Macaca fascicularis: one gene and its partners. The protein of the gene in region 3 purifies or fractionates together with the protein of the main gene of each other region. This does not show direct contact. Links are inferred from orthologs where the notes say so. Each region holds a gene or a part of one and is shown on either strand. Other genes may lie near its edges. The genes, in order: CHUK, IKBKB and PRKCQ.

Region 1 (3,654 bases), about 100 Mb from region 3:
CTTTGGATTAAAAAAAAAAAAAAAAAAAAGCAGAGATATTTGGTGCCAAGCATACACGAAAGGCTCCTAAGAGAAGAAGCATCACGAAGGTTCCAACACCCCCACGAGACCAACAACTATCTTCACTAACTGAAAAGACAGCACACACAACTCAACCCAAGGCGCAGACTCTTGGCTTTTAAGTCTTTACTGGAATGAAATTTGGACGCTGGAAACAAGAAAACTGCTTAAAAGTTACTAATTAAATGAACATTTTAAGAGTCAATTCACAATTTCTGGTTCTTCTCCAGATAACTCATCTAAATTGGGGGAAGGAAAATAAGTTTTAAAAATATACATACTTTCTTTTTTTCTTAAAGTGAACCCAGGATGTGTGTGTATGTGTTTTGGATGTGCTTCATAAGAATAAAATAGTAAGTGTTAACATATTATGTATTCACTGCCAGTATCTTTGCTAGATACTATGCTGGAAAAACAGACATGAACAAGACAGGTGAAGTCTAGGAGCTGCGTTAAGTATGAAAAAAAAGAAAAAGAAAAAGAAAAAGAAAAAAAAGACAGGTGCAGTTCCTTCTTTAATGGAACCACTGTTTAGCAGAAGGGACAAAAAACTAAACACAAAACTACAGTTCAGTGTGGTAAGGTCTGAAATGGAAAAAGTAAGAGTGTTACGGGCATACAGCAAAGACACCAAAGCTCAAGGACTAACTATATCAGACAGACTATATTCAATAGGCATGAAACATTACTTCAGGTTTCACCTACCTTTCCACCAACGTCCTGAAGAACTATGTTTTCAGGTTTTAGATCTCGATGTATAATTTTGTTTTCATGCAAATATCGAATCCCAGACCCTAAATAAAGTTTAAAATACACTTTGAAGTAACAGAAAGCATTGAGTTAAAAGAAAAATTCACCTCACATTTTGTACAAATCTGCTCTGATGCTCAAGTTTATATGGATCATCGTAACTACACAACTAATATTACAGTAGTTCAGGTTTTCTTCACAGAAAAACGTAACATTAAGCAAATACTACAAAATTATACTATATGTTCATCTAACTCATTAGAATTAACATTAAATAGAAATGCAACAAGCAATTGGGAAAATCCCTGTAATTCTAATAAGCCCCCTTCTCCCACCTAAATCAACCATTTAAATTGGACTTTAGCTCTCATGACCTTGGAAAAGAGGCAAAACCAAAATCTACGCGGAAACAAATTTTTGGTTTTTGAGGTTCCTCCAAAAGGTTAGGTACTGGTTATTTTAGGAATTTTTCTGGAGTCATTCTGATTAAGCAGAGATTTTTCACCCCAAGAGTTGACTTGGCCGGGCGCGGTGGCTCACGCTTGCAATCCCAGCACTTTGGGAGGCCGAGGCGGGCGGATCATGAGGTCAGGAGTTTGAGACTAGCCAGGCCAACACAGTGAAACCCAGTCTCTGTTAAAAATACAAAAATTAGCCAGGCATGGTGGCGGGCGCCTGTAATCCCAGCTACTCAGGAGGCTGAGGCAGGAGAATCACTTGAACCTGGGAGGCAGAGCTTGCAGTGAGCTGAGATCGTACCACTGCACTCTAGCCTGGGTGACAGGGCTAGACTCCGTCTCAAAACAAACAAAAAAGAGTTGATTTGAGGACCCATCTCTCAAGGAGATGCAATTCCACTGTAAAAAAAATTACTATGTCAATGGTGTGGGAGGAGTGAAATTGAGTAAGGTCATTTTGCATGATTTTTTTGTCAGCTATTGGAACACCTATTAGATTAAAAAAGGACTCCTAGCCAAAAATAAATAAAATATCCTAGTTTGTGTGTGTGTGTGTGTGTGTGTGTGTGTGTGTGTGTGTGTGTGTGACAAAAGTCTCACTCTGTTGCCCAAGCCGGAGTGCAGTGGCCCAATCTCGGCTCACTGCAACCTCCACCTCCTGGGTTCAAGCAATTCTCCTGCCTCAGCCTCCCGAGTAGCTGCGACTACAGGCATGTGGCATCATGCCCAGCTAATTTTTCTATTTTTCTTTTTATTTTTTTGAGACGGAGTCTCGCTCTGTCGCCTAGGCTGGAGTGCAGTGGCGTGATCTCGGCTCATTGCAAGCTCTGCCTCCTGGGTTCACGCCATTCTCCTGCCTCAGCCTCCCAAATAGCTGGGACTACAGGCGCCCGCAACACACCCAGCTAATTTTTTGGATTTTTTAGTAGAGACGGGGTTTCACTGTGTTAGCCAGGATGGTGTAGATCTCCTGACCTTGTGATCTGCCCGCCTTGGCCTCCCAAAGTGCTGGGATTACAGGCATTTTGTATTTTTAGTAGAGATGGAGTTTCACTATGTTGGCCAGGCTGGTCTTGGACTCCTGACCTCGTGATCCGCCCACCTCAGCCTCCCAAAGTGCTGGGATTACAGGCGTGAGCCACCGCACCCTAGGATATAAAAATATCCTGGTTTTAATTTAGCATCAACAGTAATAGATTTATATGATAACTTCTTATAGATGTTGAAATTCTATAGACTTTGTACAGTGTATCAACAATTCTCCTGAATTCCCAAAAAGGTACAGAATCTTTTATGGACCAAAGGGGCATTACATCACAATGGTATTTTAATACTGATTACATACCTATATCACTTAGTAAAGAAAGTATCTGGCTTTCTTTAAGTCCACAACAATTTTCTGGTTTGTTGAGCAGCTAAAAAAAGAAAGAAATCTAAAAATGTGTTCTGCAAATTGCTGGGCTGTAATAGTGACCACACATTAATTACTATACTCTAAGAGAATATTCAATGAGAAAGTAAGTCATAATAAAATACAAGGGAATACAATTACCAAATCCATACTGACGGCATGTAAATTTCATGATAAGGCTCATAAAAGTAAAAAGAAGCAAAAAGCACTTGAAACTGGAAAAGGCTGACAAATCTCAGGGATATATATATAAATGGTCATATGGGCACATTTAAAATTAGCTAGAAAAGAAAGATTGCAATACAGAAAACAACTTTTTACAAGCACCTTAACCACTGAAAATTTCATCTAATACCACTGCTATAGTCCCATCAAACAGCAACAACAAAAATGCATTTTCTAAATCAGGAGTCAACAAACATTTTCTGTAAGGAACCATATGGTAAATACTTTAGGTTTTGCAAGTCACATAGCCTCTGTTAAACTACTCAATTCTGCAGTCATAAGAAAGCAGCCACAGACAATGTGTAAAGAAATGAATGTGGCTATGTTCCAATAAAACTATTTACAAAACAGGAAGCAGACCATAGTTTTTCCGATTCTTATTCTAGTTTATTATATTTAATATGATTCAAATAATGCTAAAGTTTGTGATTTACTATCTCTCATCTCAAAACATCCACACTACCTTTCGGAGATCTCCTCCAGAACAGTATTCCATTGCTAGAAGAGGCACATCATGAATCAAAATATTCAATTCTTCAGGAACATCACAGGCCTTTACAACGTTGGCATGGTTCAACCTAATAAGAAAGAAAAACATTACAATAAAAAATTTATTTCCAATAAAAAGGGACTGGATTTGAAATGCTACTTAATTGCAGGTGGATGAACAGAGGGGGAAAGATCGGTATTATTTATAATACTCTAATTTCTGATTTGTATAATTAAAAATTAGAATTTTTTAAAAGAAAA
Region 2 (3,654 bases), on a different chromosome or scaffold from region 3:
CACCTCCCAAACGTGCCTTGCTCACTTTAATCTTTCCCCTTAGAATTTCCTTCCTCCTTCCTCTTCATCTGTCCACGTCCTGCACATCTGTCTAGACCCTTCCAAAAAGTTCTAGCTTATCCCACGTCATTCCTTATAGCACTAGTACATCCAATCTTCTCTTCCACCCTTTAAATATGGTAATCATTATCCATGCCACTCAATTATGTGTGACTGCCTCGTAGCTTTCTTTTGCACTGTTACCCAATTCTGTACAATTACACAATATTATTAATTGTTTAGATTCTGGCTCTGAGACTGGATTGTAATGCCATTCAAATGACAAAGATTTATTTGTTGACTGTGACACAGAATTGGGCCACATGAGGGGTAGAAAGAGAAATAAGGTATAATTCCCTGCCCTTAAAAGGACTGCTGTTGAATCAGAGACAAACCCTATGCAAAACCAAATGTGATACAAGGTAGAGGCTATTAAGGGTAATAAGAGGCACAGATAAATTGTTATGTGAACTTAGAATAAGAGATGATTTCTAGGGAGATGAGGGAAGGAAACCCATTCTAGATTTAAGATTAAGAAGGACTATGTCAATTTCTTACTCACAGGACGATATTCTGATAACCTGTTTAAAAGTTATCAGATGTCACTTCAGACTTGAATTTCTTTTTTTTTTTTTTTTTGAGATGGAGTCTCACTCTGTCACCCAGGCTGGAGTGCAATGGTGCAATCTCAGCTCACTGCAACCTTTGCCTCCCGGGTTCAAGCGATTCTCCTGTCTCAGCCTCCTGAGTGGCTGGGATTACAGGCGTGTGCCACCACTCCTAATTTTCGCATTTTTAGTAGAGATGGGGTTTCACCATGTTGGCCAGGCTGGTCTTGAACTCCTGACCTCAGGTGATCCACCCACCTTGGCCTCCCAAAGTGTTAGGATTACAAGCGTGAGCCACCACGCCCAGTCCAGACTTGTATTTCTAAAAAAGGGAAGAAAAATATGTATTCGTGTAATGCTTCTGTGCCTTACCTGTTAAGATTATTGGGGTAGGGTAAAGAGCTTGAAAACTTCACTGTTCCATTCAAGTCTTCGCTGACAACAATATCCACCTCACTCTTCTGCCGGACTTTCGAATGCCTGCAAATATGAATCTTGTTAGGTGCAGTCACACGTTGCTATGACAGGGACACATTCTAAGAAATTCATCATTAGGTGATTTAGTCGTTGTGTGAACCGAACACAAACCTAGATGGTTTAGCCTACTACACACCTAGGCTATATAGTACATCCTATTGCCCTAGGCTACAAACCTGTACAGCATGCTCCGGTACTGAATACTGTAGGCCAGGGTAACACAATGATAAATATTCGTGTATCTAAACATATCTAAACCCAGAAAAGGTACAGCAAAAATACAGTATTATAATCTCATGAGACCACTGTCATCTATGCAGTCAATTGTTGACTGGGATGTCAATGAAATATACAGTTATACACATCCCTATGACACTTAGCACTCAAGAGCCACTTTACATTTATAATATCAGTTTACAACTATACAGATTTATAGCCCCAATCTTTTCATTCACATTGAGTCAGGCGGATTCTTTGAGAGTTTAAGACTGGTCAGGACTGCCTGAATGAGTTTTTGAAAAGCAACCTTTAGCAGAGTCACTGACCATCTTGTGCCCAGAGTTCTGCAGACAGTACTACTGCCTCCTTATCTCATCCTTGGTTTTTCCTTCTCATTTGCTCTATCTTCTGTTTCATCTACTACACACTCTTGTGTTTTGACAGAGGTTAAAACTGGGACTTCCAAACCTAGATTACAGTATGCATACAACATTTACATAAAATATGCAAAACCTACGCACACACATAGATACTTCCCTCTAAATGTACACAGCTAAATACTGTTTCTAAGGATAAATGAACTTATACATTTCCCAACTTAGGGAACTTCTTGGGGTATCTGAAGTAGTATTTGAAGGTAAAAATAATTTTTTTTTCTGTCACCCAGGCTGGAATGCAGTGGCACAATCACAGCTTACTGCAGCCTCAACCTTGTAGGCTCAAGCAATCATCCCTCCTCAGCCTCCTAAATAGCTGGGACTACAGGTGTGCACCACACACCCAGTTAATTTCTGTATTTTTTGTAGAGATGGGGTTTCGCCATGTTGCCTAGGCTAGTCTGAAACTCCTGGACTCAAGCAATCCACCCACTTTGGCCTCCCAGAGTGTTAGGATTATAGGGGTAAGCCACAGTGCCTGGCCAATAAAAATAATCTACATGCAACTGGCTTCAAATCTTGGTAATAAGAAGAGTAGTTTGAATAATACTTCATAGATAACCAAGTATTCTGACACAGATCATTTATTCACTTAAGGCCATGACAGGCCCATGTGGCAGACATTATTTTTAGTCCCCCAATTTGGACCAAAGGAAATGATGATCAAATGATTTGTCCAAGGTCACGCAACAGAGTAGCAGAATCAGGGGCTCAAACCCAATGTCTGGTGTTCTTTCTATTCTGTCTGAATGTCCAACTATTCTCAAAACATCTGGGAAATTCAAATAAAAAATGCTTTGCTCCAAACAATTTTCATTGGCAAGTGGTGAACCAGCCTATCAGGAGCACACTGGAAAGCTAGAAGAGCCGGAGCATGGCAGAGGCTGGTGCTTTACCGCTTGGGCTGAAACTGACAGCTGTAAGTCGGGGGCTCCAAGACTTTCTAATTATCTAAGTGTGGAATAAGCCTCTCACAGAAAACTTAAGTTGTTGATGGGAAATTTAAAAAGGACCCAAAATAAGATGCTTATTGCTGGGGCTTGTCCTAAAATGTATTTCAAAGTGGCTTTATAATAGAATTGTAAAGCCCAAATTGCATTTGTCTGGAAATCACTATTTACCTGCCATCTGAGACAAGATAGTGAAATTTTTAAAAAGTTGCCCAAAGCATTAAAAACTAGATTAGTCCACAAAACAGCTCCTTATTGGGTTTCAGAAAAATCTACTTGAAACTGGCCACCTGGCCCTCCAGTGCTGATAAGGGAAGCTCTAGGAAGATGGCTCTGCAGACAACAGATTTCCTACGAGGATGCTGGGCCATTAGGAATGTATTTTCAAAAAGCACCTGCTCTTCTAGTTCTAATGGATTTTAACTCATCTTGTCATAAATAAGAGAAATGCTCAACAAGTGATCAGAAGAAATGCAATAATTCCTTTAGTTAAAACCACTATAGATGTGCAGTGAGCCCAGATCATGCCACTACACTCCAGCCTGGGCAACAGAGTGAGATTTTGTCTCAAAAACAAAAACAAAAACAAAAACAAAAAAACACTATAGATGTACATGTAATTTAAAGCGATTTTTATAATGCGTACACTGTAAAGTGTGACTATAAATTAATGAACAAATTCCTCAATATTCCAGAACCTATGTAGCTAAAGGAGCAATGCCTGTTTTAAAATAAGTCACCACAGTGGGGCAAACTTTGCCATTTCTCCAAACTCAGGGCAGGGACCTCCCTCACTGGGAGGTAAACGTGGAATTGAACAGACTGCCATCACCTAAGACCACTTTTCTGGAATTGATTTCAAAGGATACACTTTATTCTTTTTTTTCTTTCTTTTTTTTTTTTTTTTTTTTTTTGGTAAGACCA
Region 3 (3,654 bases):
GTGGCTGGAAGGACAAAGTCAGCTGTGAAGCAAAAAGTCTTTTGGTGGGGGATGCAAAATAGTAGGTTTGGGAACCCCTAAATGTGAACTGTGAGCATCTGGCAGGAGGTTCTCAACATCTGAGTCAGTTTCTTCTTGCATCTGCAAATGTCCCTGCTCACAGGCCTTTGCAGGACAACCCTATATAAGATAACACACATCCCTGCCCCCAGTCCTCTCTTCTTTACACTGCTTTTTGTTCCTTCATTACCTGCTGTTGGTATTTTTGTTTATTGCCACTTTCTTCTGCAAGAATAGATGCTCTAAAGGGAAGGCAGTCTTCCTGAGTTCCTTCTGCTTATTTAGTTGACTTTTTTTCCCTCTATGCTCTGGCCCCAGCACTCTTGCAGTGGTCTCTCTGTAAACACTTTTGTGTAAGTGAACTGTGACGGCTTCCACAGTTACTGCAAGCCTGCATCCATTGTCATTATCATTCTCTACAAAGTGTCTACTAAAATCAAAATGCACGTAGGGAAACAAGAAAAGGTGTGCAGTCAGGAGAGTTGTGGGATCTAAACTCCCTCCTACTTTTCCTTTGGAAATCCACGGCAAACTTACAATGCGGAGCTGAGGCTCTCAGAGAGCGGAAGCTGGTCAATGTGCCCACAGAGAAATTCCCTACACATAAGGCTGTTGGAACGGAACATTCTGAACCCACAAATGGGACGTTGGGTGGCTGTCCCACTTTCCCCCTCACCTTGAGCTGCCTGTAAATATTTAAACTTGATGAAACATCACGATTCTTCCATTCAGCCAAGACCTTAGTGAGTGCGAAAGTACGTTTTCTGAAATTTGGACTCTAATGGCTAATTATAGATGCTTTGTAATATCCACTGAAGTTTGCCAAAGCAGCAGTAAGTAGTCTTTAGAGTTGGTTGGAAGATTATGCAGTCTTAATCTACCTAGACTTATTTAAAGTAACCAGGCTTAACCACATAGGGCCATGTTCTACTTCAGCTCATTAGAGCTCCTTCCCATTAACTCCTTATGTAATTTTCTCAACCCAACTGTCTCTTTCCTTTTGTATATGTGGGAAAAATGAGACGGTGTAATAGAGCCACCGGTGGGCCATCGGGTCCTGGTTTAGAGTCCATCACAAAATGTGTGTCCAGAAGGAAGCCCTTGGCTTTGCTGGGCGTCATCAGTGTCCTAAATGGTAGGATTTGGTTCCACCAGATGATGTCAAATGTCCTGGAAGACCTTGCTTTATACATAGTTCATAGCAGGATTTTCCTCCTCCTCCCCTGCTTTGAAAACCCACTCAAACTTACCTGATTCGACATACTCTTTGACGAGCACAGCACAGTAAGGGTTAACAGCCTCGCCCTGACAAGACTGGCAGGACCCGCAGTCAAAGTTGGACAAGCCAATCCGAAGAAATGGCGACATGGTTGCACCCTGGAAAACGACACAAGACAAATGCTGTTTGGGGGCTATAAAAGATACTGTTTTTGGTGTCCCACGTCTACTTAGCCAGTGCTTTATCATGGACAGCCAGAACCTCACAAAGGTCCACTATCCATCTGAACAAACGTTTTCACTTCCCCTTCTGCAGAAGACACTGCTGGACTCACCCAAAACCACACACTGACTTGCCGAGGGGAGAGGCTTTCTGAAAGTCTGAACTCAACTTCGCTAGTAAGAAGTAACTCAAGAGTTAATTCCACTCAACCTAATGGAGTTAGGCCCAATGGTTGGAGAGTGAGGCAAAGGTTTTCCAACATTTTATGTCTTCTGTTATTCAAGTAGGTGCCCCGGAAACAGCACACAGTAATCAGAAAATGAGTTTATAAAGAGCGAGTCTATTTGAGTCACACTAGTTAAATATGACACCGCAAAATTCTTACATGGTCTATTTATGTGTGTAATGGGATTGGCCCAAGGCATTCAGCAGCTGATCCTTATTTACTTCAGACATTTTCAAAAAGGTCTGCTTTCTTCACAGTTACACACACACACACACACACACACACACACACACACACACTCTAAGCCTTTGTACATCACAAACCACATAGAAAACTCTAAACTCATTGACTACTATAAAATAGGACTTTATCATCTAAGGATGAACAAAATACTTCATAAAAGCCCCAAAATCAGTAATTATGCTTTCCAAGAGGTTTAGATGATAGTTATCAAAGTGTTGGCTACAAATCCAGGAATCTAGTCTAATTCTTCACCTATTGTTCCATTATTGAGTGTTCTGGCCACTTATATAAACTAGATACCCCTTCTTGTTTACCTACTTTCCCGAGGTCCCATTAATCTGAAACTATCATCTGGTATTCAGTGAAAAAGTTACTTCCTTGCTCTGTCTCTCTTCTTGACCATTTTATACTTATACTTGTTTTTCTAAGTTTTCATAAGTAAGCCAAAGATAAGAAACAAACCATTGGTTGTCTTTTCTGCCTTTGTGTAAAGAAAGAAAACTGTTTGAAATAATAAAGACCTGGAAGTGAGAATCTGTAACATACCTGGAAATCTTGGACCTGTAATACCCCATCTAGCTAAGCCAAAAGGTATCTCTTGTGTGCTAAATGCCAGTGTTCTTTGATTCTACAAGAGAGACAAATTAGGAGCTTTTGACAGGTGCTGTTAATTTCACAGATATTAATGAAGTCCTAATTTCCTGTAGAGTTTGGAAGGTTTATCTAATGGAGACGGTTGGGTAAACATCATGATTTGCTGGGTTCCGTATCTATCACGTTGCTGAATTAGCAGGTAGATGACTTACAAATTTGTCTTTAGGGGGCCCCCTTTGCCCTATGAGTTTAGAATTCCCAGGCAGGAGTGGGGCTAACAGCTATGAATTCTCCGGAGAGAGTTTCTTTGAGAATCTCTTCTTTCCTGGGCCACTTGGGTCTTTTAGACAAAACTTCATTTCTCCACAAATCAGGAAAAATCACTGAGAATCATCTTCAGTGATGGGAGTGATCGCCATGTTGGGACTTTTTGAAGATTTCCTTAATTCTGTTTGAGTCTAGAGGGATCACTGACTCATAAAGCCTGAGTTAAAGCACTCTGGCCTTTTCTGGTGTCACTCTGCTATTCCTAGGTTGGGTTTCTAATCAGGCAACAGCAGCCCAGCAGGTGACTGGGAAATGCTGTCTCAGGAAGACATGGAAACCTCCAGGGTGACCAGGGTTTCCATTACAGCAAGGAAGAGAGTTGGGGCAAAACCCTCTCTCCTCCTGAAGGTCTTGCCTAGACAATGATTTCTTCCTTAATAAGCAATGCAGATTAAACAGCCATTTCACCAGATTCACTTGCGCTATTCTGTTACTTCTAAGCATTTTGATGATTTGACCAACACATGTATGTTCTGTTTGACAGCCAAGTCAGTATCCCTCTTTCTAAAGGTCTGGTCACAGACCTTTAGAAATGTATGTCAGACGTGACCTGACATACACTTGACATCTAGAAGACAGAATAGGTGGTTGTGTGGTAATCTTCACACATCATTCAATAGAACTGCAAGCCCAGGTGTGAGTTTTTCAGGCAGATGGCAGCATTTTACACCTGAACTGCACAGAGTGCTTTTCTCTCTGTTGTTCAGAGTGCTTTTTAGTTGATCATGATGAAAAATAAAGAAGACACACAAAGTTAGTAAAA

Evidence for each region.
Region 1: the proteins of PRKCQ (region 3) and CHUK purify together in Homo sapiens (affinity purification with western blotting, with the first as the bait; 3 studies listed by BioGRID). This does not show direct contact. The link is inferred for Macaca fascicularis from reciprocal best matches to the Homo sapiens genes PRKCQ and CHUK.
Region 2: the proteins of PRKCQ (region 3) and IKBKB purify together in Homo sapiens (affinity purification with western blotting; 4 studies listed by BioGRID). This does not show direct contact. The link is inferred for Macaca fascicularis from reciprocal best matches to the Homo sapiens genes PRKCQ and IKBKB.

What each region holds. Positions count from the first base shown.
Region 1 is NC_088383.1:109,168,981-109,172,634, forward strand, and holds part of CHUK (inhibitor of nuclear factor kappa-B kinase subunit alpha), read right to left. Parts: intron 3,483-3,654; coding exon 3,368-3,482; intron 2,684-3,367; coding exon 2,614-2,683; intron 855-2,613; coding exon 766-854; intron 1-765.
Region 2 is NC_088382.1:45,826,544-45,830,197, reverse strand, and holds part of IKBKB (inhibitor of nuclear factor kappa-B kinase subunit beta), read right to left. Parts: intron 1,128-3,654; coding exon 1,020-1,127; intron 1-1,019.
Region 3 is NC_088383.1:7,442,402-7,446,055, forward strand, and holds part of PRKCQ (protein kinase C theta type), read right to left. Parts: intron 1,805-3,654; exon of another isoform or gene 1,614-1,804; intron 1,462-1,613; exon of another isoform or gene 1,438-1,461; 5' UTR 1,429-1,437; coding exon 1,311-1,428; intron 1-1,310. UniProt on the Homo sapiens protein: Calcium-independent, phospholipid- and diacylglycerol (DAG)-dependent serine/threonine-protein kinase that mediates non-redundant functions in T-cell receptor (TCR) signaling, including T-cells activation, proliferation, differentiation and survival, by mediating activation of multiple transcription factors such as NF-kappa-B, JUN, NFATC1 and NFATC2.